Saccharomyces cerevisiae S288C: one gene and its partner. The protein of the gene in region 2 binds, or shares a complex with, the protein of the main gene of each other region. Each region holds a gene or a part of one and is shown on either strand. Other genes may lie near its edges. The genes, in order: COP1 and SEC28. A codon is read from its position in the direction of its gene.

What was found.
Region 1: the proteins of SEC28 (region 2) and COP1 are in contact, whole or in part, in a crystal structure (PDB 3MV2), measured with the Saccharomyces cerevisiae proteins. Residues at the interface, in NP_012189.2 of Saccharomyces cerevisiae: Tyr11 (codon at 6,608), Lys39 (codon at 6,692), Tyr63 (codon at 6,764), Leu67 (codon at 6,776), Tyr90 (codon at 6,845), Thr94 (codon at 6,857), Ala97 (codon at 6,866), Ile98 (codon at 6,869), Leu126 (codon at 6,953), Leu127 (codon at 6,956), Glu130 (codon at 6,965), Leu133 (codon at 6,974), Leu134 (codon at 6,977), Asn136 (codon at 6,983), Val138 (codon at 6,989), Leu166 (codon at 7,073), Tyr170 (codon at 7,085), Phe173 (codon at 7,094), Ala174 (codon at 7,097), Thr175 (codon at 7,100), Asn176 (codon at 7,103), Glu178 (codon at 7,109), Thr179 (codon at 7,112), Ala180 (codon at 7,115), Lys198 (codon at 7,169), Leu201 (codon at 7,178), Gly202 (codon at 7,181), Asn205 (codon at 7,190), Leu208 (codon at 7,199), Gln209 (codon at 7,202); in NP_010136.1 of Saccharomyces cerevisiae: Glu900 (codon at 8,354), Gly918 (codon at 8,300), Phe920 (codon at 8,294), Asp921 (codon at 8,291), Val924 (codon at 8,282), Leu936 (codon at 8,246), Glu937 (codon at 8,243), Leu939 (codon at 8,237), Lys940 (codon at 8,234), Phe943 (codon at 8,225), Thr944 (codon at 8,222), Asn945 (codon at 8,219), Tyr947 (codon at 8,213), Glu948 (codon at 8,210), Gly949 (codon at 8,207), Arg951 (codon at 8,201), Thr952 (codon at 8,198), Tyr953 (codon at 8,195), Ile954 (codon at 8,192), Pro955 (codon at 8,189), Ser956 (codon at 8,186), Thr957 (codon at 8,183), Pro958 (codon at 8,180), Cys959 (codon at 8,177), Glu960 (codon at 8,174), Leu961 (codon at 8,171), Pro962 (codon at 8,168), Ala963 (codon at 8,165), Gln964 (codon at 8,162), Leu965 (codon at 8,159).

The regions. Positions count from the first base shown.
Region 1 is NC_001136.10:187,126-199,855, forward strand, and holds COP1 (coatomer subunit alpha), read right to left. Parts: upstream 11,052-12,730; coding exon 7,446-11,051; downstream 1-7,445. Other genes in the region: autophagy protein ATG9, read left to right, coding at 1-793; snoRNA-binding rRNA-processing protein NOP14, read right to left, coding at 1,029-3,461; proteasome regulatory particle lid subunit RPN5, read left to right, coding at 3,799-5,136; LDB17 (Ldb17p), read left to right, coding at 5,625-7,100; YDL144C (uncharacterized protein), read right to left, coding at 11,537-12,607. UniProt on the Saccharomyces cerevisiae protein: The coatomer is a cytosolic protein complex that binds to dilysine motifs and reversibly associates with Golgi non-clathrin-coated vesicles, which further mediate biosynthetic protein transport from the ER, via the Golgi up to the trans Golgi network.
Region 2 is NC_001141.2:210,081-220,382, forward strand, and holds SEC28 (coatomer subunit epsilon), read left to right. Parts: upstream 1-6,577; coding exon 6,578-7,468; downstream 7,469-10,302. Other genes in the region: AIR1 (TRAMP complex RNA-binding subunit), read right to left, coding at 843-1,925; threonine--tRNA ligase THS1, read left to right, coding at 2,419-4,623; RCI37 (Rci37p), read right to left, coding at 4,911-5,873; proteasome regulatory particle base subunit RPN2, read right to left, coding at 7,783-10,302. UniProt on the Saccharomyces cerevisiae protein: The coatomer is a cytosolic protein complex that binds to dilysine motifs and reversibly associates with Golgi non-clathrin-coated vesicles, which further mediate biosynthetic protein transport from the ER, via the Golgi up to the trans Golgi network.

The DNA of each region.
Region 1 (12,730 bases), on a different chromosome or scaffold from region 2:
GATGATAACACCGTTTGTACTTTGGTTTTCGTTGCCCTCGTCAGCCGGCAGGATTGTAGATTTCTTCAGAGAGAATTCTGAATATGTGGACGGATTAGGTTACGTTTGCAAGTATGCTATGTTTAACATGAAAAACATAGACGGTGAAGATACACACAGCATGGATGAAGACAGTTTAACGAAAAAGATTGCCGTGAACGGAAGTCATACACTCAACAGTAAACGAAGGAGTAAATTTACCGCCGAAGACCATAGCGATAAAGATTTGGCAAATAATAAAATGTTACAATCATATGTATATTTTATGGATGATTATTCCAACAGTGAAAACTTAACAGGGAAGTACCAATTGCCTGCAAAAAAAGGCTATCCGAATAATGAAGGCGATTCATTTCTCAACAATAAGTATTCTTGGAGAAAGCAATTTCAGCCAGGTCAAAAGCCGGAGCTATTTAGAATAGGTAAGCATGCTCTCGGCCCTGGCCATAATATTTCCCCTGCTATATATTCTACAAGGAATCCCGGCAAGAACTGGGATAACAATAATAATGGTGATGACATTAAGAACGGGACCAATAATGCTACAGCTAAAAATGATGACAATAATGGCAATAATGATCATGAATACGTACTAACAGAGTCTTTCCTTGATTCGGGCGCATTCCCTAATCATGATGTAATAGACCATAATAAAATGCTAAACTCAAATTACAATGGTAATGGCATACTCAATAAGGGTGGTGTCTTAGGACTTGTTAAAGAGTATTACAAGAAGTCTGACGTCGGAAGATAAGGCAGACTGTGTCGTGTACATCATCCAATATAACTATATATATAACTGTTTCCTTTCTTTTTCGTATTTACCTAAATGCATATATTATTCAGTTCCCACTAATTTTGTACTACAATAATAAGAGAATCCCTTCCCTGTTTTAGAAATGAGTAGTTCTTTTCTTTTTCATAAATAATACAGTTGTCTCTGAGAAGCCTAATAAGAAAAAAAGAGGTTAATAAATTATTATTATTGGTTATTTCTTTCCGCCACGTAGTTTTCTTTCTCTTTCATACTTGTTTTTTTCCGCACCTTCTTCGGTATTAATAGTGTTAACAATATGAGCCATCTTTGCATGGTAGTCGCTGCTCTCCTTGTTCTTTTCTTCAATTCTTTGTCTAGCTTCAAATTTGGCGTCTTTACGGATTTCTTTCATAGTGAATTTACGTTCCTTCTTTAGTTGGGCCTTCATCTTATTTATCTCACTTCTTGTTCTATCAGGATCGTACGATTTTTTATCAGGATTGAAGTTTTCTTCGTATTTAGGAGCATGCGTAGGTATGGATACGGGTTTGTGGTTCTGTAAAGCCAACGGAATATGTTCTGTGAATTTCGTTAATTTTTCAACTTTGTTCAAAATATTTCTTGGCTTTTCAAAATCAGAATACTTTGAGGTGTATGCACTTAATAACTGCTGAATCGGTAAAATAATTTCATTGAAAGCAGGTAAGCTCTTCCACACAGTAGAGATAGTTGCATCTAAAGATTCCATAACATTTAGTAAAACGGAGACACATTGATCAACCGGATGTGCCTCGGTATCCATTGTTGACAAGGTATGTAATGGAATAATAGTTGATCTCTTTTTTGTAAAGTCAACGTCCAATGGAAGCCCCAACTCGTAAGAGTCTAGTCTAATATTTTCAAAATCTAATGGTTTTTCTTGATTTTCTTTCTCAACTATAAAAGTGAGTAATATTTTTTGAAAGAAGTAAACCACCTCCGGTATGTACCGTTTGGAAATGCGTTGATATTGTGAAACAATCCTTACCAAGACAGCGCCAAAAGCTATCCTCTTTAAAGAATTAAACTTGATTTGTTCCAGGAACTGGCTCATTAAAATCAATGCTGGAGTTATTACTAAATGGTACTGGTCCGAGGTGGAGAAAAGAATACCAATAATGGAAAAAAATACCAGATCACCATTTGATAGAGCATCAAAATGGTTCTTTTTATAGCGTGCTTGCATTTCATTGATATAATCTCTACACTCCTCGGAAAGCTCTCTATTATATTTCTCTGAAAGGGATTTTAGAATTGAGATCAATGCATTTTGTGTACGTTTAAAACTTTGAACGTTTTTAAGGTAGTTTTGATTGCTTAGAAAAATGATGTGTCTCAGTAAAACAGCGGTGAATTTTCCTAACTTTTCCTTATTACCTTCAGCCAATTTTGGTTGGTAAGCTTTGATAATATTCTTAACAATCTTAGGATGATCATCTAAGTCTAATTTTTTTACTTGATCTAATAACGCATCATGAGTTCTAGGGCATGAAATGGAAATGTTCTTTTTCTTTAAAATTTGAGAAAACCCTTCATCTCTGCCTTGATCTTCAAATTTGATATCATCATCAGAATCAGCAATACCGTCATTATCGTCTTCATAGTCTTCTTCATTTTCCCAGAATCCATCATCCAAATCCTCTACTCCTCTTTCTTCGCCTTCTTCTAATTCAATCATACCGTTCATACGATCAAGACGCTGTTGTTCCAACTCCCGTTTTTTTTCTTCAGCTTCAGCGTTTTTCTCCTCTTCAGTTTTAGTTCTATCAGAGGGTGCAGCTCTTTTGTCCAATTGTAGTTCTTTCACTTTGATATCATACTCCTTATCTAGATCGGTCTTAGGTTCCATTGGATTCTTCTTGGGTTGCGTCATCATCAATTCAGACATAACATCCTCGAAATTATCATCCAGATTATCTATTTGATCTTCCATTATACCTTGAGCCTTTTGTCTTTCTTGTTTGTAAAATTTTGATTTGGCAATGACCTCTTTCATGACTTCAGCTTTGGTTTTTTTTCTTTGAGGTTGCTGTAGCTCAGCATCATCTTCATTGAATCGTTTGGAAGCTAAAAAATCCTCTTCATCATTGGCAAGCTCATCTTCTAGGGACAGCGATTGACCTAAATGTGTAAGACCGTCTCCAAACATGTCACCGTCGTCTTCATCGTCTTCAAGATTGAATAAATTTGCGTTTCTCTTTGATTGGCTTTGTCTTTCTCTGGTGAAACGTTCCAACATTTTTTCTTCTTCCGTCAACAACTTGTCTCTTTCACCAAATCTCTTATCGATCACACCACCACGTTTATTCTTCATCATTTTTCTTGCTTCAAATGCACGCTTTCTTTGTTCTTCACCGATCTGTTTAGAGATACCAGGCTTACCCACAGCAATACGATCAGCAGTTTTAGAAGGCAGACCATCTCTCCTCTTATTCCTTGCAGCCTTTATTTCAAACGGATTAAACTCTTCTCTGATTTCAGCAATGGCCTTTTTTTTTTCTTCACGATCATACTCCTTCGCTTGTCTTTTGGAATTCTTTTTATTCTTACTTTTGACGTTTGTTTGACCTGTGAGTCCACGGGCCTTCAAGGCGGCCTTTAAATTCTTAAGTTGTGAACCGGCCATGTATTTGATCTTCCCTTTTATTTGCTTCTCAACTGTACTATTTACAGTAATAATTAGTGCAACCTTCAGATGCTTCTCGCTAAATGCTCATCTCTAAATTATCATTATTATTCCTAATAAATCCTAAAATTTTTCACTCGTTCTGTACGGCTCATCGCCCCAATATTACCCGTCTTGTATGTGATCTTTTTGACTTTTCGGTGGCAAAATGCAAAGGGGAATCCAAGGAAAAACCATAACAGGACACTACATCAGAGATAATCTTGAATTAAGAGAGTAGAGGAATATACTGCTGGGCTCACTACCATTTTTGTTGCTAGAGTAAACGTAGAGAAAGATGTCAAGAGATGCACCAATTAAGGCTGACAAGGATTATAGCCAAATTTTGAAGGAAGAGTTTCCTAAGATCGATTCGCTCGCTCAAAATGATTGTAACTCTGCTTTAGACCAACTGTTAGTGTTGGAGAAGAAAACCAGACAAGCTTCAGATCTGGCCTCCTCGAAAGAAGTTTTGGCCAAGATTGTAGATCTGCTAGCATCAAGGAATAAGTGGGACGACCTAAATGAGCAATTGACTCTACTCTCAAAAAAGCATGGTCAGTTGAAATTGTCAATTCAGTATATGATACAAAAGGTTATGGAATATTTGAAAAGCTCGAAATCTTTGGATTTAAACACCAGAATTAGTGTCATTGAAACTATCAGGGTGGTTACAGAGAACAAAATATTTGTAGAAGTGGAAAGAGCTAGGGTCACCAAAGATTTGGTGGAAATTAAGAAAGAAGAGGGTAAGATTGATGAAGCTGCAGACATCTTGTGTGAGTTACAGGTTGAGACCTATGGCTCCATGGAAATGTCTGAGAAAATTCAGTTTATATTAGAGCAAATGGAATTGAGTATATTAAAAGGTGATTATTCCCAAGCCACGGTGCTTTCAAGAAAAATTCTGAAAAAAACTTTTAAAAATCCAAAATACGAGTCATTGAAGCTAGAATATTATAATCTTCTGGTAAAAATTAGTTTGCACAAGAGAGAATACCTAGAAGTTGCGCAGTATCTGCAAGAAATTTATCAAACAGACGCCATTAAATCAGATGAGGCTAAGTGGAAACCTGTTTTATCGCACATTGTATATTTCTTAGTCCTTTCACCTTACGGCAATTTACAAAATGATTTAATTCACAAAATCCAGAATGATAACAACCTGAAAAAATTAGAAAGCCAAGAATCTTTAGTAAAATTGTTTACTACGAATGAGTTGATGAGATGGCCAATTGTTCAAAAAACCTATGAGCCCGTCTTAAATGAGGATGATTTGGCATTTGGTGGAGAAGCTAATAAGCATCACTGGGAAGATTTACAAAAAAGGGTCATCGAGCACAATTTAAGAGTCATTTCCGAATACTATTCCAGAATTACTTTACTAAGATTGAATGAATTGCTGGACCTAACGGAGAGCCAGACGGAAACATACATCAGTGATTTGGTAAACCAGGGCATCATATACGCTAAAGTTAATCGCCCAGCCAAAATCGTGAATTTTGAAAAACCAAAAAACTCAAGCCAATTATTGAACGAATGGTCACATAATGTTGACGAACTATTAGAACATATAGAAACAATAGGCCATTTAATTACAAAAGAGGAAATCATGCACGGTTTGCAAGCTAAATGAAGAGATTTTCGAGTAAGTGTCGGATTATCTCAGATCCGGTTTTGATTTTAAATCTGTTACTAATCGAAATGTGTATTTACGTACGTGAGATAAAATTATCTATGCATATATATAACTCAAATGGAAAATGGCCACGTATTGCTCTCATTCTCTTCACTTGCTTACACAAAACATAAGGTGACAATTAATGGAATTTTAGTTTTTCAATTTTTCAGGGGAAAGAAGACACCCAAAAAAAAAGTGAAAAGTCAAAACGGTAAACTGTTTATGGTATTTAAATGACATTAATAGCAGCGTAAAGAGTCATTTTTTCGTTTGATTAGCAAAACTCTGAACATTAATTACTACACCTATAGACATATCTTTAAACAGTGAAATATTTTTTTCATTTAGTAAACAAGAATTAAACTTTGAATATTTTTTTTTCGATTAACTTATGTCACTTTAGCCTATACTTTCTTCGAACATTTTTCCTTTCATTTTGACTCATGATATTAGATCCATTATCTCCAAATATTGAAAATCATACTCAAGATGAAATAATTGAGTTTTGGGAAAAAACTGAGTCTATTGCTAACATACCAAAGGAAAACTTGGATGAATCCCATGTTAACTCAAGCCTGGTTGCCTACCTGAAGTTTGCTACTGATTCCTATAAGGTTTTTATTAATACTGATCGTGACCTCTACCGGATGTCGCTAATACTGTTAGAATCGTCCTTATTTGAATTTAAAAAAGAGTTTTGCCTAAGTAAGTTGCAGTCGTTACTCAACATAGACCTACTGGAAATGAATATGAAGTTCATTATTGTTTACATTCTTCTCTGTGAGGCGAAAAAAAACGTGTACTCCTTAGAAATCATGCTCAAGTTCCAAGGATTTACTGTGTTTTATAATACCTTGTACACACAATTCGCCTATTTGAGCAAATACGGAAAGGAAAGGACAGTTGCTTCTAAACATCAATACAATTCTAATAATTCTAGCACAGGTACATCCTTGGACAGTTTAGACCGAAGTTTGACTGATATTGATTTGGGTATTATAGACGAAATGAAGCAAATTTCAACTGTTTTGATGGATTTGTTATTTCAAATTATGAAGTACTGTAAGTGTGTTATTGCTAATCTTCAAATTGTGGATGACTTTTTTGTTTACTATATGATGGAATCAATGAGGTCCGACACTATGGACGATATGTTCAATAACGCGGAGTTTAAACTGCTGTTGGCGTTGAACGAACAATATATGATGTTTGCCAAGGAGTACGACATTGAGAACAAGGTCTATAAGTATTTGATCAATGGGTCTGTCTCAAGATGTTTTACGGAGCTATTATTACTGAAATTCAATAGGGCATCGGACCCTCCGTTACAAATTATGATGTGCAAAATTATTTATCTTATCTTGACACCAAGAGGAGACTACTCTCCGATGAATTTCTTTTATACAAACGACTTACGTGTTCTTATCGATGTATTAATCAGAGAACTACAGAATATCAGTGAGGATGAAGAGGTATTGAGAAACACCCTTCTAAGGGTTCTGATTCCGCTATTAAAGAATACACAATTATCCAAAACACATTATAGAAAGGATGATTTGAATAAACTATTAAACTACTTGTCGACTTTAGATAATATATGCGTTGACAGTCCAGCGTTGCACGAGCATCAAGTTACAGTGGCCTTATCTCGGAAGTGTCTTCAACAAATTCCTTGGTTAGAGACACCTTCAACGCCTTCAGATGGAGGTTCATCGGTCTCTAGTAATAACACTAGTAGAAACTCTAGCATTGTTGCATTGGGGACGCCCGACAATCAAAATATCTTGGCTCGTAAAGGCCATCTTTATAGTAATCGTGAATTAGATGTTTCTGCAGAATCTTTGACTAAAAGAAAGGCTAAAGCTCCGCCTCCGCCTCCTCCTCCTCCTCCATCAAGAAAATGTGGAACTCCAAAATAAGTAAAGCATTATTTCTTCTTGCATTAATGTGGTTCTTCCGACCATTTCTTCTTCTACTCACTGCAGTATCTAATGACACATTGTACTTTTTATATACAAATGCAACAATCGTAACTATAAAACTAAAGTTCGGGTTGCTTCCGAATACATGCTGGCAGAATTTCAGGTTGTGTGTCACTTGTTAAAATAGGCGATATTTTTTATTTTAGAAGTTGTATATAACTGTTAATTACATAGTCAGTTTTTTTTTTTCACTATCATATTGTTTAGATTAAAAGGACTTGTCACATGAAATTTAGGTCGAGCAGAATACAATCCCGAGAAAATCAATAGGCAAAATAGCATTTATACACGTATTCTTAATCCGGATGCAGGTGCACCGATCTTAGAAATCATAGCAATTCTATCTATTTTATCTTTTTCCGTGATAACGTATTTACTACCTGTTAATGGGTCAGAAACGGAAGGTGTATCTTCATAAATTGGTTTGTAGGTGGCTGCACAAATATCGAATTTAGCATAAGGATCAAAGTCAATTGGAATGGCGTCACTGGCCATTGAGTCGGCTTTGTTTTTGATTTTACGTGCTTGTTCTGCACGAGGACCAGAAGAAATAATCTTTAAAAATTCACCGGCAAAATATGAGGCCTGTAAGAAATTTTTGTGTTTGAAATGTTGGGACATAGCCACTTGTAAAGCATTGGTACGATGAATTGGGGATAGTTTTGCCTTTGTAAAGTATGCAGCTAGCTCAAGCATGCGTACAGTATTTCCCTCCTTTAATGAGCGGCGTTCCAATTCAATGGATAAACCTAATATATACTCCCTAGCAGTTTCCAGTATCTTGTGTGCTAATTTTTCATCTTCAGCATCATCGACCATTAATAGCGTAATACGGTAGATAGCTTCTCTGAAGCATTCGATTGCAATATCTGGTTTGTTTAGTTTAAAGTTTTTGTAACCCTCATTCATTTTTTCATTAACGACATCAAGACCTGGCACGTAAGGAAGAATTTGATCTTCACTTACGGTATCATCATACGCTCTGACATAACCTAATTGAGCAGGAAGTTCACAGGGCGTACTAGGAATGTATGTTCTACAACCCTCATAAATGTTGGTAAAATATTTCTTCAATGGCTCCAGCTTGACTACACCCACTTGCTTGCTCAAGGCTTGAACAGCGGCATCAAAGGCACCAGCGGCAACTAGGACAGCAGGCAGTTTAGAATTCTTGATCCAAATGGCTGTTTCAACTTCCTGTGCTGGAGAGGTAATTTCGCCTTGCTCAACTTCTTCAGGTAACTCTTCTCCCACATCCAAATCTTCGTCACCCAAATCCCAGGCACCTTCGTCTTCACCAATATCCTCATCGTTAAAGTTTTCTTCGCCTAGTGGTTCTTCTTGCTCTTGAGTGGTGTTTACTGCTGGAGTTTCATCGTCTATAGTCAAATCGTCAATTTGACCTAAAACAGCCTTTTCAAAGTAAGATAGTTCAGCCTCTTTTAATGGCCATTTTTCAAGTGGCTTTGAGATCACTGGTCTTTGAACGAAGTTGGAGGCATCCATCTGGTCTGGTAAAGTAACATCTTGTTCATCAACTTCAGCTTGCTCCAAGAAAGCAGAAGCAGCCGCTTCATCTCCGTTAGCCTTTGCTACGGCATAAGCTAATGGTAAAGAGCCGCCCTCTGCAAAAATGCTAGATCTTTCCTTGGTTGAATTGTTGTAAAAGGTGTTTAATAGCATACTTCCAAAGTCTTCACGAGTCTGAGCGATATTTTGCATTTTAGATAGTTTGTTAACGTCACCTGTAACTAAATACAGGAAGGAAAGTTTGTCAAAAGAATGTTGAGTTTGATAAATCATTTCAGCTAAGCTGGCATTACCTTGTGCCAAGGCTTCTTGGATTAATCTTTCCCAAGTACTAGAATCATTCAGTTTTTTGGCTTCATCTAAGGCAACATCCAAATTACCGTATTCCAAAGCTAAATCAAAACGGATATGTGGGTCTTGAACGAATTGTAAAGCAATTTCTGGGTAACCTGACTTCTGCAGATAGGAAATGATATTCTGGCCAACCAAATTAGAATCTTTTATCAGACGTAAAACTTCTGGGAAATTTTTGTTAACCAGGGCCTTTTTGAAGCGATATTCTGTAGGATCAATGGTTAAAATTTCAATCTCACCTTCACGGTTCAAGCAGTACACTAATTTTCCCTGAACTTTTGTGATATATAAAGTTTTCTCCAAAGTTTTAATAATACCTCTATCCCCGTTCAATAGTGAGTACCTTATATGATTTAAAGTTGAATAAATTAATACACCAGTTTCATCCCAAGCGGCACTTTTGATTCTAATCGTTTCATGCATAGAATTAATCAATTCTAGCTTTTTGGTAGCCAAAGTTATGGTGTGCTTACTCATCAATGCAACATATTGACCATCTAAGGACCACGAAACGTACTTGACGTTTTTAACAGCCAATTGGGATACTTTTTTGCCCTGTTGGACATCATAAAGAATAACTTCTCTGGGGTGTATGACCAAAACAGATCCAGGACCTGCAGCTACAATAGTTCTTACTGTTTCCTCTACTTTGATATTTCTTGTAACTTTGTTTTCGAGAGAGCGAACTTCAACAGATTCAGTGTTCTTGTTGTAAACAACAAATCTATTACGACCAACAAAAGTAGCAAAATTACCTGTATCTTGGGTGACACTTGTTGGCTCCACAGCTCCAACTGGTTGTTTTGGTAAAATAACGAGAGCAAATTTGCCATTAGCTTCATTAACCAAAACTGAATGTTGGGAGGGATTGTACGATATACTTCTGAATGCATCCCAAGGTTGACCAATACCCTTTAAGGACGCATAAGGTAATGAAGCGACTCTTTTCTGGAAATTGAAACTTTGGATTTGCTTTTCCGCATTGACAAAAAACAACTGGTTTTGATGGATAAAGCTGCATGGTCTTTCGCGATCGAGCTTGAAAACCATAATACCAGAATCGTGAGCTGCACCAAATAGATTGATATGAGGATGTGCTGCAATCAACCAAAATCTATCGTTTTCTCTTTTGAATTGCTTTACTGGAGTTCTCTTGTCAAGATCCCAAACCCTTAGCGTTTTGTCTTCACCGACAGAAATGATCAAGTTTTGATGTGGGTGAAAGATAACACTATCAACATTGTTAGTGTGACCTCTGCAAGTATCAACTTCCCAAGCTTTCGTAGCACTCATTCTCCATAATTTAACTTGACGGTCGTCACTGCCGGAGACAATCAATGGTAAAGTTGGATGGAAAGAGGCCCAGTTGACACCTCTTGTGTGACCCTCTAGAATAAACTTGACAACACAGTCACCAAGAGAGCCATCCAATAGATTTTGTTGTGCACTCATTTGCTCCTCAAATGAACTAGTACCAGGAGCGGAGTGTCTTTTCCTTAAACCGGAAATATCCCAAATTCTGATGGTTTCATCCAGAGAAGCGGAAACGATCAGGTCATCGGTTGGATGAAATTGAGCACACATGACAAAATGATTGTGGCCGGTCAAACATGCAATTTCCTTACGGTTTTGCCAGTTCCAGATTCTTATGGTCTGGTCATCAGAAGCAGATATGATCCAAGGCAGCTCACGGTGGAAAAACACGGTACGGACATAATCCAAATGCCCAGTTAAGGTGTATAGACATTTGTTAGTATCTAAGGACCAAACTTTAATGGTATAGTCGTCACCTGCCGAAACAAAAATCGGTTGGGTTGGATGGAAATCTAGCCCACGAACAGGGCCCTCGTGGTCTTCAAATCTGTGAAGTAGTGTTCCCATCCTGTAATCCCATAATTGAATAGTAGAGGAAAACAAAGCCACCAAAACCCAAGGTCTGGAGGGGTGGAAGGCAATGCCCTTGGCCCTAGTGGACTTTGATTCAAATTTAGTTAACATCTTCATCTTGATCCAGTAATGAAATGAACAAAGACACTACAGAAGAAAAAAAGTATACTGATTTCAGGTTAAATAAACCGCGAATTTGTAAACAGGTATGATAATGTTTTTATTCAAAAGTGTAAAGGGAAGATAAAATAAAAAGAAAAAACTTTATATCTTAAGCAAAGAAGGGGGTAAGTAACAAATGTTTGGAAAATCCTGCTGGTTTCGCCAATTCTATGATTTACCTAATTGCAATGCCTCTTCAAACAAGTTTGTGGTCCCTGTATGCTACTGAATCGAGGCTCAATCGTCACAGTCTCGAAGACGGATCTGTTATTTATTCAAGTTGGCAAATTGTCGATTTCGTTTCGTGTTGTCGAAATTTTCGGTCGCTCTGTACGTCGTATAAATGCTGACAATAAGAATAATAGTTAAGAGTACATACTAAATTATGTGTTACAATATACTAGATGAAGGCTCGTCAACGAGGCAAGCAATGGTTGGAACTACTCGTCCACAAGAGTGGCAGTTTTTTCGTCGAACTTCAATAGGCCTTTCCGCTCCTTTAGTTTGGCCTGTACTAGCACAAGTAGGTTGTATAAGATAGAAAGAGTGGGTGTAGCGACGCCGTTTCTTTTCGCGATTCTTATGGGGTTGCCTAGGATGACTTCTAGCTCCATCAATTGGCCCTTCTCGCAGTCCACGCACATGGATGGCTTGAACACCTTTTTCCTGGTAATCTCTGTAAACATCGTTATGAACTCCTCTTCGATAATGATGCCTTCACTCGCCGCAATGGCGATGATCTCCCTCATGGCAGGGTGGAACACTTCAATTTCTGTGCTCTTCTTGTTAACCCCAAACTCCAGGCAACGCGGAACGTCTAGCCCCACAAGTGCCGTGGATGTGTTGATAGCTGCATTGTAGAGCAACTTCTTCCACCGAGAGTAACGGACCCTAGGGTCAAATTCGACAAAGTTTTGCCCCTCGTTGCTGTACATCCTGACGAAGTCGTTGGCAGCCTGGATAGCAGCAGCGTCCTGTGGATCAAAAGCTCCACACGATAAGTGGTCCTGGCCCACTTGACTGATATGGCCTGACCCGATCTTAGTGGATCCGATTAACTGGATGCCAGAAAGCACCGTGTAACGATACTGCTCTCTGGGAAATTCCGCCCATATCTCCTTCTCAATATCGATTCCGTTCTGTACCAGTAAAATGTGTGTCGTCAATTGCGGCCCATGTAGCTCTTTATTCTTCTCAAGCACAGGTCTGATGATGTTGGACACCCTTGAATTAACGGGCCCATCTATGATGTTCTTGGTAGTCACTACAATATAGTTGTATCCTTGGTTGTCTGCGGCAGAAGCAGCGTCCTCGACGCTGCTGTAAATATGGTGGGGTCTCCAACCTTCTAACCGGCCATAGTCACATGATTCGATTGTGTAGCCATGCTTCAATACCCTATCGTAGTCAGATCTGACTACCAAGGAAACGTCGCTCTCCTTCTTAAGCCACAACGAAAGCGCAGTAATGACCCCAACGCCACCTGCCCCGATAACTAGTATTCTAGACATTTTCGACATTAGCTTATGCCAACTTGTATCCTGGCACCGGGACTGTAGTTTATGAGGTATATCAATATGTCCTAATTAAGGCTATATAATTTGGTATTACTATCACTTGCCACGGGGAAACTG
Region 2 (10,302 bases):
ATCAGCTCCACTGAGAGAATTAAGAGAGCACACGAAGTTACTGCACTCATAGGAATAGATACTACACACAAAACTTACTTATGTCACATGCAAGACGTAGACCCAACACTTTCAGTAGAATACTCAGAAGCTGAATTTTGCCAAATTCCCGAAAGAACACGAAGATCAATATTAGCCAACTTTAGACAACTCTACGAAACACAAGACAACCCTGAGAGAGAGGAAGATGTTGTATCTCAAAATGAGATATGTCAGTATGACAATACGTCACCCTGAACGTTCATAAAACACATATGAAACAACCTTATAACAAAACGAACAACATGAGACAAAACCCGACCTTCCCTAGCTGAACTACCCAAAGTATAAATGCCTGAACAATTAGTTTAGATCCGAGATTCCGCGCTTCCACCACTTAGTATGATTCATATTTTATATAATATATAAGATAAGTAACATTCCGTGAATTAATCTGATAAACTGTTTTGACAACTGGTTACTTCCCTAAGACTGTTTATATTAGGATTGTCAAGACACTCCGGTATTACTCGAGCCCGTAATACAACAGAACATATGAAATATCTGGTCTCTTGGCCCAGTTGGTTAAGGCACCGTGCTAATAACGCGGGGATCAGCGGTTCGATCCCGCTAGAGACCATATTTTTTTGTACAAATCTCTTCTACTACTGCTAAGACAGTAAGTAAGAAATACGAGACTCCAACAATGTACTTTTTTTTTGCTTTGTACTGCTCTATCGATACAAAAAATCCCTATAAAATAAACATATATATGTTTGCTGCAATGAGAATGGAAAAAAAATTAAAAAAACTCACATATAATCTCAATAACGGCCATTTCTTTGGCTTTTGTTAGAAGATGATCGGCCCCTCTTATTCTTAGGACCCTTGGGGAAGTCGTCCCTATTATAGCTGAACTGGCTCGAATAATCGTTCGTTCTGTTGTTTTGGCTACTTCTGGGGAAATCTAAGGGGTGTGTCTGAACTCTTTTATTTTTCGTCACTTTGTAGTTCTGTGCGCTAAATGGTGACTTCTTCTTCCTGTTATTACTGCTTTCATATCTATTATTGCTACTATTTTTGTTCCTTGTTGACTGCACTTTGCCCTTCCATTTCATTTTATCTCTATAAGTCCTTGAGCCAGGGAGGTCGTATGCATCGTCGTTATATTCATAGTCAAGCAGGTTGAATTCATGTTCGTTATCAAAGTGTTGCCTTTGTGAAGCTTCACGTTTATAGTCTTTCAATTGGTTAAAATAGTGTTGTTTAAATTTTGTGGCTAAGTTATCACCGCAAAATGCACTTCCATCAGTGTTCGGCACTCTCGATGACCTTCTTTCAGCACAGTCATCGCCAAAATGACCGGCATTCCCACAGTTATAACAGAAAACTGTTTGAAAATCGAAGTCACCTTGGTTAGCATCTTTTGTTTTTAATAAATAAGATCTCCAAATACTAGGACATCTTTCTCTTGAGTGTCTTTTGCTATTGCAAAGCGTGCAGAACACCTTCTTCCATTTATGAGGACACTGTGATTTATAATGGCCGTTTGCATTACAATTAGTGCAAATAATAGCCTTAGGGCAGTGTTGTGAGTAATGATCATCCATAAACCCGCAGTAAGTACATATCACATGGGGACAATTCCTTTTCAAATGACCTCTTTGCGAACAATTATTACACTTTGGCTCTGCCTCCATTATCGCACCGTTTGAGTCATAATCTGTTATTCCAAAATACCGTCCTTGGCCACGTAAAGTCCTCAGTTCCTCTGGGTTAGCATCTACATCCTCTATGGAAGGAGCCAATAATTTATTAAATGATGACGAGTCACTTCCTGTCGGTGTTGTATCCTTCACATACGGCAAAGTATCGATACTTTCTACCTCAGATAACAATGTCGACATAATATCTTAGCTCCGTGGTCCGCTTCCTTTGTATTCCTCATGTGAGAATGTTGGACCTTTCCCACTCATCGCATCGCTAATTTTTAGTAATTTTTCATTTTTTCATGGACCAAGAAATTGAAAAGCCTGTCAATGAGCTTTAACAGTAGCAAGAAACAAAGACAAAGGACAAGCGCCTATGGAAGTCACTTTAGAAATATTGAAGTCACATTTTCATATAATATATAAATGAATTTACAGATGTGCCATTGTATATGCTGACGCAAACGCTTTCTTTTTACTGTTTAAATGACTCTTACCTTGTGATATGTATAAATCATCATATACGGCTATCTTGCTAAAAAATTTTTTTCGAGGAATTTTCACTTGAAAAAAATACTTGCGATGGCAACAAAAGAAAGTTAGATAAATCGTGCATTAAATGATGTGTCATCTGAAAGATTACAGGTTAACGAAAAATTAACAGCTAACAGAGCAAGAAAATAAAACGGAGATGAGTGCTAGTGAAGCAGGTGTCACTGAGCAAGTCAAAAAGCTGTCTGTCAAGGATAGTAGTAATGATGCCGTAAAACCAAATAAGAAAGAAAACAAAAAATCCAAGCAACAGTCCTTGTACTTGGATCCTGAACCAACTTTCATCGAGGAAAGAATTGAAATGTTTGACAGATTACAAAAGGAATACAATGATAAAGTTGCTTCTATGCCACGTGTTCCATTGAAGATTGTCTTGAAGGATGGAGCCGTTAAGGAAGCCACTTCTTGGGAAACCACTCCGATGGATATTGCCAAAGGAATTTCTAAATCTTTAGCAGACAGGTTATGTATTTCTAAGGTTAATGGTCAATTATGGGACTTAGATAGACCATTTGAAGGCGAAGCCAACGAAGAAATCAAATTAGAACTGCTAGATTTCGAATCTGACGAAGGTAAGAAGGTCTTTTGGCATTCGTCTGCCCACGTCTTGGGTGAATCTTGTGAGTGCCACCTAGGTGCCCATATTTGTTTAGGTCCTCCAACTGATGATGGGTTCTTTTATGAAATGGCTGTTAGAGATAGTATGAAAGATATATCTGAATCTCCAGAAAGAACCGTCTCCCAAGCTGATTTCCCAGGATTGGAAGGCGTTGCCAAGAATGTTATCAAGCAAAAGCAAAAATTTGAAAGATTGGTCATGTCCAAAGAAGATCTTTTGAAAATGTTTCATTATTCGAAGTATAAGACTTACTTGGTACAGACAAAGGTTCCAGATGGAGGTGCTACTACCGTCTACCGTTGCGGTAAATTGATTGATCTATGTGTCGGCCCTCATATCCCACATACTGGGCGTATCAAAGCTTTCAAACTATTAAAGAACTCTTCTTGTTATTTCTTAGGTGATGCGACAAACGACTCTTTACAAAGAGTTTACGGTATCTCTTTTCCAGACAAAAAATTAATGGATGCTCATTTGAAGTTCTTGGCGGAAGCCTCTATGAGAGATCACAGAAAGATTGGTAAAGAACAAGAATTATTCTTATTCAATGAAATGTCCCCAGGTTCTTGCTTTTGGTTACCTCATGGTACTAGAATTTACAACACTTTGGTTGACTTGTTGAGAACCGAATACCGTAAGAGAGGTTACGAAGAAGTCATCACTCCAAACATGTACAACTCCAAATTGTGGGAAACCTCAGGTCACTGGGCCAATTACAAGGAAAACATGTTTACTTTCGAAGTAGAGAAGGAAACTTTCGGTCTAAAACCAATGAACTGTCCAGGTCATTGTTTGATGTTCAAGTCTAGAGAACGTTCTTATAGAGAATTGCCATGGAGAGTTGCAGACTTCGGTGTTATCCACAGAAATGAATTTTCTGGTGCCTTGTCTGGTTTGACTCGTGTCAGAAGATTCCAACAAGATGATGCTCATATCTTCTGTACCCATGACCAAATTGAGTCTGAAATTGAAAATATTTTCAACTTTTTGCAATACATTTACGGCGTTTTTGGATTTGAATTTAAGATGGAATTGTCCACTAGACCAGAAAAGTACGTTGGAAAGATCGAAACCTGGGATGCCGCTGAATCAAAATTAGAATCTGCCTTAAAGAAATGGGGTGGTAACTGGGAGATCAATGCTGGTGATGGTGCTTTCTACGGTCCAAAGATTGACATTATGATTTCTGACGCTTTAAGAAGATGGCATCAATGTGCCACCATCCAATTAGATTTCCAATTGCCAAACAGGTTCGAATTGGAATTTAAATCTAAAGATCAAGATAGCGAGAGTTACGAAAGACCGGTCATGATCCATCGTGCCATTTTAGGGTCTGTTGAAAGAATGACTGCCATTTTGACCGAGCATTTTGCTGGTAAATGGCCATTTTGGTTATCACCACGTCAAGTTTTGGTTGTGCCAGTTGGTGTCAAGTACCAAGGGTATGCTGAAGACGTCCGTAACAAATTGCACGATGCTGGCTTCTATGCCGATGTCGATTTGACCGGTAACACTCTGCAAAAGAAGGTCAGAAACGGGCAAATGCTAAAATATAACTTCATTTTTATTGTTGGTGAACAAGAAATGAATGAAAAATCTGTTAACATTAGAAACAGAGACGTTATGGAACAACAGGGTAAAAATGCTACTGTTTCTGTTGAAGAAGTTTTGAAACAGTTGCGTAACTTGAAAGATGAAAAGAGAGGTGACAACGTCTTAGCTTAATGAGATTTTATGTAGTTAAATTTTGACTTATTTAATTTATGTTTTGTAAAGAATAAAATGAGTATGATGAAGGAATCTTACCTCTATTAACTATTTCTTCTTTTTTTTTCCTTCGATAAGATGTGCGCGAATTCAATATGGAAGAAAGCAATTTGGTATGCAGATGGTGTTCACCGGCAGTGTTTAAGTTACGAATATATAAAAACAAATTCAGGAACCCGCCGAATTTGGCCCAAACATATACCTATATACAAATTAGTGACCATACGCTATTATTACTCCGTCGTCTAGGAGCGGTTCCCACCATATCTCCCGCTCTGCAGTAAACGCTGATATTTGTCATCAGAAGAGGAATTATCGGTAGCATTACCATCGTCAGAAAATCCTGAGATAAATATATCGGATTCATGATCCACTGAAGCATCTGATTCCTGCGACTGATCTCTACTGGTGTTCCTTATATTTTCCCATGATGAAGACGAACTGTTGTCGCCGTTCCTGATTTTTTCCCAGGAAGACAGAACAGGACTGTCGTTTTGCTCTCCTTCAATTGGGTCAGGAGATTTTCTACCCTTATTACGATACAATCCTATAGGATCCCTTTGGTTCATAAAGGGCGAGCCGTTAAAAACTCCGCCTTTTTTCATTTGCTGCAGTTTGACTTTCGGGTCTGGCAATCTTCTCTCCGGATTTTGGTACGTTATGTAAAAGTACATCGACCACCTTGAGGGGGAGCCTGAATCTAATAAGCGCATCATATTGTACTGCCTTTGATTTCTCGGAATTTCTTTTGTTTGATCATGTTGAAAGGCTCCAAAGTCGTTGTCACCATATTTGTTGGAATAGTTATCCTTCAAAACACCTGTGGGGTCACGTTCGTTCAACTGTCGTGTATACATGGACCTACCAGCAAAATTTGTAGCAAAAAATAAAGCCATTACACCCAAGACAAAATTCCTCGGCACCTTAACACCTTTAATAGCCTTGGTCTTGTAGTAACGATAGGCAAATGGAGTTAAAAATACAGCTGAAAACCCAAGCCAACCACCCCACATCTCAGCTTTAGCAATGGATCTATAGGCCTTCGATAACTCCAGCCTGTCTCTTGCATCCAGCAATTCGTCTTTTTCATGAAATTCAATAGCATTTTCATAAGCCTTTTTAAACCAAGGCCTCTTCATAAAGGGTAGTTCATTTTCCATTCCCTTACCATTCTGGCCATATTGCTGTTCTTCTTCTTTTCCCAACATCACCTTGTTCTACGCTTGAAATTAGGCTGCTCCTTAAAACGAAAATCATATTAAGCATTGACACATAAAAAGTTCTGTTCTGCGTCAAAGTAGCATTAGCTCATAAGGCTTTCACCCTTGCTTGACTTACACCCGCGGAAATAAAAACACAGAAAAAGAAGGAAATAATGTATAAACAAGTAACTATGAACGAAATTTCCTGTTACGGATTGTTACGCTAGCTATTAAAATTCGTCTCGTCAAAGATCGACTGTAGCAGCGTGCTGCTGATGTCAAAGAATTGGGAGCCACAAGCTGGTGAAATGGTATCTGTCTTAGTACTCACAACATTCTAGGCTGCAAAAGAGGTTATACCGGAACAATAGTTGCTAAAATGGAATTCAGGAGATGGCTCCAACGCAACGATCAGGACGCCCGCTGATCTCACTCTTTAGTGTCCACACTATATAGTAACATTACATTCAATTGGAACCGTAATGTTGTATAAAATCTTTTGTCTTGCTGTATAGGTGCGTATGCAGCGTCTTCAATGGGATAAAGATATTCTATTTTTAATTTTTAAGGTGATCTTAATTTTTTGTTGGTTCTTTTTCAGTTTTTTGTCAAGCGAAAAACTACAGTTTCTACAGAAAAACACGTCAAGCTACAGTATAAGAACGGATTGTGAAGAACTCGGTGGAGAACATAGAAACAGACAAAAAATCATGGATTACTTTAATATCAAGCAGAATTACTACACGGGGAACTTCGTGCAATGTTTGCAGGAAATAGAGAAGTTTAGCAAGGTCACAGATAACACCTTATTATTCTACAAGGCGAAAACCCTTTTAGCTCTAGGCCAATATCAATCACAAGATCCTACCTCTAAGCTTGGCAAGGTACTAGACTTGTACGTCCAGTTCTTAGATACAAAAAACATTGAAGAATTAGAAAATTTGTTAAAGGATAAACAGAATTCACCATATGAATTATATCTGTTAGCCACGGCTCAAGCTATCTTGGGTGACTTAGATAAAAGTTTGGAGACATGTGTAGAAGGGATTGACAATGACGAAGCAGAAGGGACTACAGAATTATTGCTGCTTGCCATCGAAGTCGCTTTGTTAAACAACAACGTTTCGACCGCGTCCACCATCTTTGATAACTACACTAATGCTATTGAGGATACTGTTTCCGGTGACAACGAAATGATTTTAAACCTGGCTGAATCGTACATTAAATTTGCCACAAACAAAGAAACGGCAACATCCAACTTTTACTACTATGAAGAGCTATCTCAAACCTTTCCTACTTGGAAAACTCAATTGGGATTGCTCAATTTGCATTTACAGCAAAGAAACATAGCTGAAGCTCAGGGTATTGTCGAGCTATTACTATCTGACTACTATAGCGTCGAACAAAAAGAAAACGCCGTATTGTACAAACCTACTTTCTTAGCAAACCAAATTACGCTTGCTCTTATGCAAGGTCTTGATACTGAAGATTTAACAAATCAATTGGTTAAATTGGATCACGAACATGCATTCATCAAGCATCACCAAGAAATTGACGCAAAATTCGATGAATTAGTGAGGAAATATGATACGTCCAACTGATTTACGTAATATCTCACATTAAACATGTAGGTTTTTTAGAAAAAGAAAAAAATATTTCATGTATATGCCTATATACTATTTTGATAAAGCCGAATAAGATGGTACCATAAATGAGGTTGACATGGCTTGAACAAAATCATATAAAGTATAATTAACAAAGCGGAAACAACATTTGTCACGTTAGAATTATGCGTAAAGTAGCTAATCCTGGCAGAATAATTCAATGATTTTTTTTTAAAAGTATGTACACTATTATTTATTTTCTGGCATTTTGAACTAATTCTTCATTTTCTGTACGACCATGCACCCTTGATCTAAGCACTAGGGAAGTCGACATTATCATCGACCTTAAATGGGGTTGGAAGTGGAGCGTTAACATCTTTCATTTGCCTAACAGTTTCAATTAGTGCTACAGGTTCCTTGGGTTCCCTATCTCTTAAAACCACCACACCGTTATTTCCTTTGAATTTACGTACAGGAACAAATCTGTCGTCCTTAATAAAGGAAATATATCTCGATTGTTGTGGTAGTATACGGGTCATATTGTCGACTTTATAAGGTTTAGAAGAGTACTTATTTTTGTAAAATTCTTCGTCGTTTTCTTTTGTTTCTTTTATGCCTTTTTTATTCGTCTCTCTTTCCTTTTCTTTTTCCTCATGCTCTTTTTTCTTTTCTTCCTCATTTGGACCCTTTTCCTTCTTTGTCTTCTTTGCCCTTGCTTTTGCTCTTGCTGTCGTGGAAAGAACAGCTGTTGCTACCTTCTCTACCTCCTTACCACTTGCTTCCTCATACATCCTCGGATAACTGAATGCATCTTCTTTAGCGTAACAATTCATTTGAAATTTGGGTATAGCTTGATCGCTACCACGAATACCAATGACAGTTGTTGGTGTAAAAGAAAGGGATAAAAAGTGAGCCAGTGGGAACCAGTACCAGAATTGTGAGAACATGACCAAACCAACTACGGACTTGGTATCCAATGTGCCTGTATCCGCATTTTCCAGCTGAATTGTAACATTACGCCCACCGGCATTCATTATACCTTGGGCCACACATGCACCGAATTTGGCTAAACCTTCTTGGTGTTTGTTTGTAATCACGCTCAAAAAATTTTTGTTAATATCAGCAACTTGAGGGTTTAGTTTTTCTGTTTGTTGAATCAAAATCATGGATAAAGCTATCATGGCAGCCTGACGAACAAAATCTACTGGGTCCTTTGTTAGCGGATCTAAAACGTCAATAGCTGATTGTAAACCCTTGCCGGCACAAGCAATCCCAAGAGCAAATGCGGTACCACATCTGACATGAGCGTTATGCGATTTAGATAGAAGTTGGACAATCCTTGGTACAGTGGTATAATCACGCAAGAGAACAAACCCTAATGCGATGACTGCTGCCCTTCTGACATCATCGTTAGAATCCGAGACTGCCACATGCAGTAATCTCTTGACAGCTGAATTATTTCCCGTACCCGCATACGCTAACGCGATTGTGAATGCACCTCCATAGCGTAACAAGGACTCATCACTTGCTAACATCTTAGTAATTAAATCATCAGCTAACTCTTGACGGCCGTAATTTATCAGTGCTAAACCAACGGCTAGACCACGAGTAATATTGCCATGCTGCGTTTCTTGGGAATATGTAAACATATCGTGAATCGCTTCAGGCTTACCTGTTCCGAGCATACAGAGACCCATACCTAATGCAGCTGCTTCTCCAGATGTGGCAGAATCGTTGTACAGAACTTCCTTTAAGGCTTCATAAACTTCAATATTAGCAGAACCCATAGCAGCAAGACCGATACCCAGTGAAGCACCATGTAACAATACATCTACGTCTTCATCGCCTGAAGTTCCGCTATTCTCAACTATTATGTTTTTCAGATAGTCAGTTGTATCACGACCAAAGCCAGCATAAATTAAACCCAAACCATACAATGAACCACCTTTGATAAACCTAGAAGAAGCTCGACTGCCTGGCAAGTAAGGGGCCATGACTTTTTTACCCTCCAATAAATTGCCTTTATGAATTACACCTAAAGAGGCTGTAGCTGTAAATTTAGCCCAATTTTGAGCCTTACCTAACCATGGCAAGTTCGCCTTGATAAATGAATTGTCGGTAGTACCAGCGTGCATAAAACCGTTGGCAACGCTGACTGCGGTGTGGAACAAAGAAAATTTCCCATCCAAAGATGATTTAGACTTGTTTAAAAGACCGATGTCAATGTTTTTATTATTCAAAAGGAAGGTATTGTAATAATCACAAGTCGGTAGCCCAGATAGAATATTCAATAAGGCAGGATCGTAACCCTGGGCAGTTAGTTCGGTTACTAAAATCTCAAGCAACTGCTGAGACGCAGACGAAACCAAATCAAATGCAATTTGAGCAGATAATCCTTCATCGTTCTCTTCCTTTAATTTTTTAAATAGCTGAAGTGCCAATCCGGCGTCATTCAAATTTACAACTACTTTATTGAGCGTTAAGTAATCGCAGTTAGGCATATTCATTAGGAAATCAAATGATTTTCTCAATATCGAGGATCTGAACTTGGAATTTGTCACAGTAGTTATAGCTAAGGTCAATAAGTAGTTAATAATTTTAACGTTTTCAGAAGTGGAATCCTGATCCAATTTGCTCTTTAAAGCACTTTCAATGATATCCAATCTGTAACCTTCTAAGGCAATTCCTAAAGCTAATTTTAATTCTGAAGCTTTCAAACATTTTTCTATCATTCGCTCAAAAATAGAGGTTAATTTTGGGTCAATAATATCCTTGGTGTAAAATTGTTCGTCCTTAGTGTATTGCTTGGAAGCCTCTTGGACGTACATCTC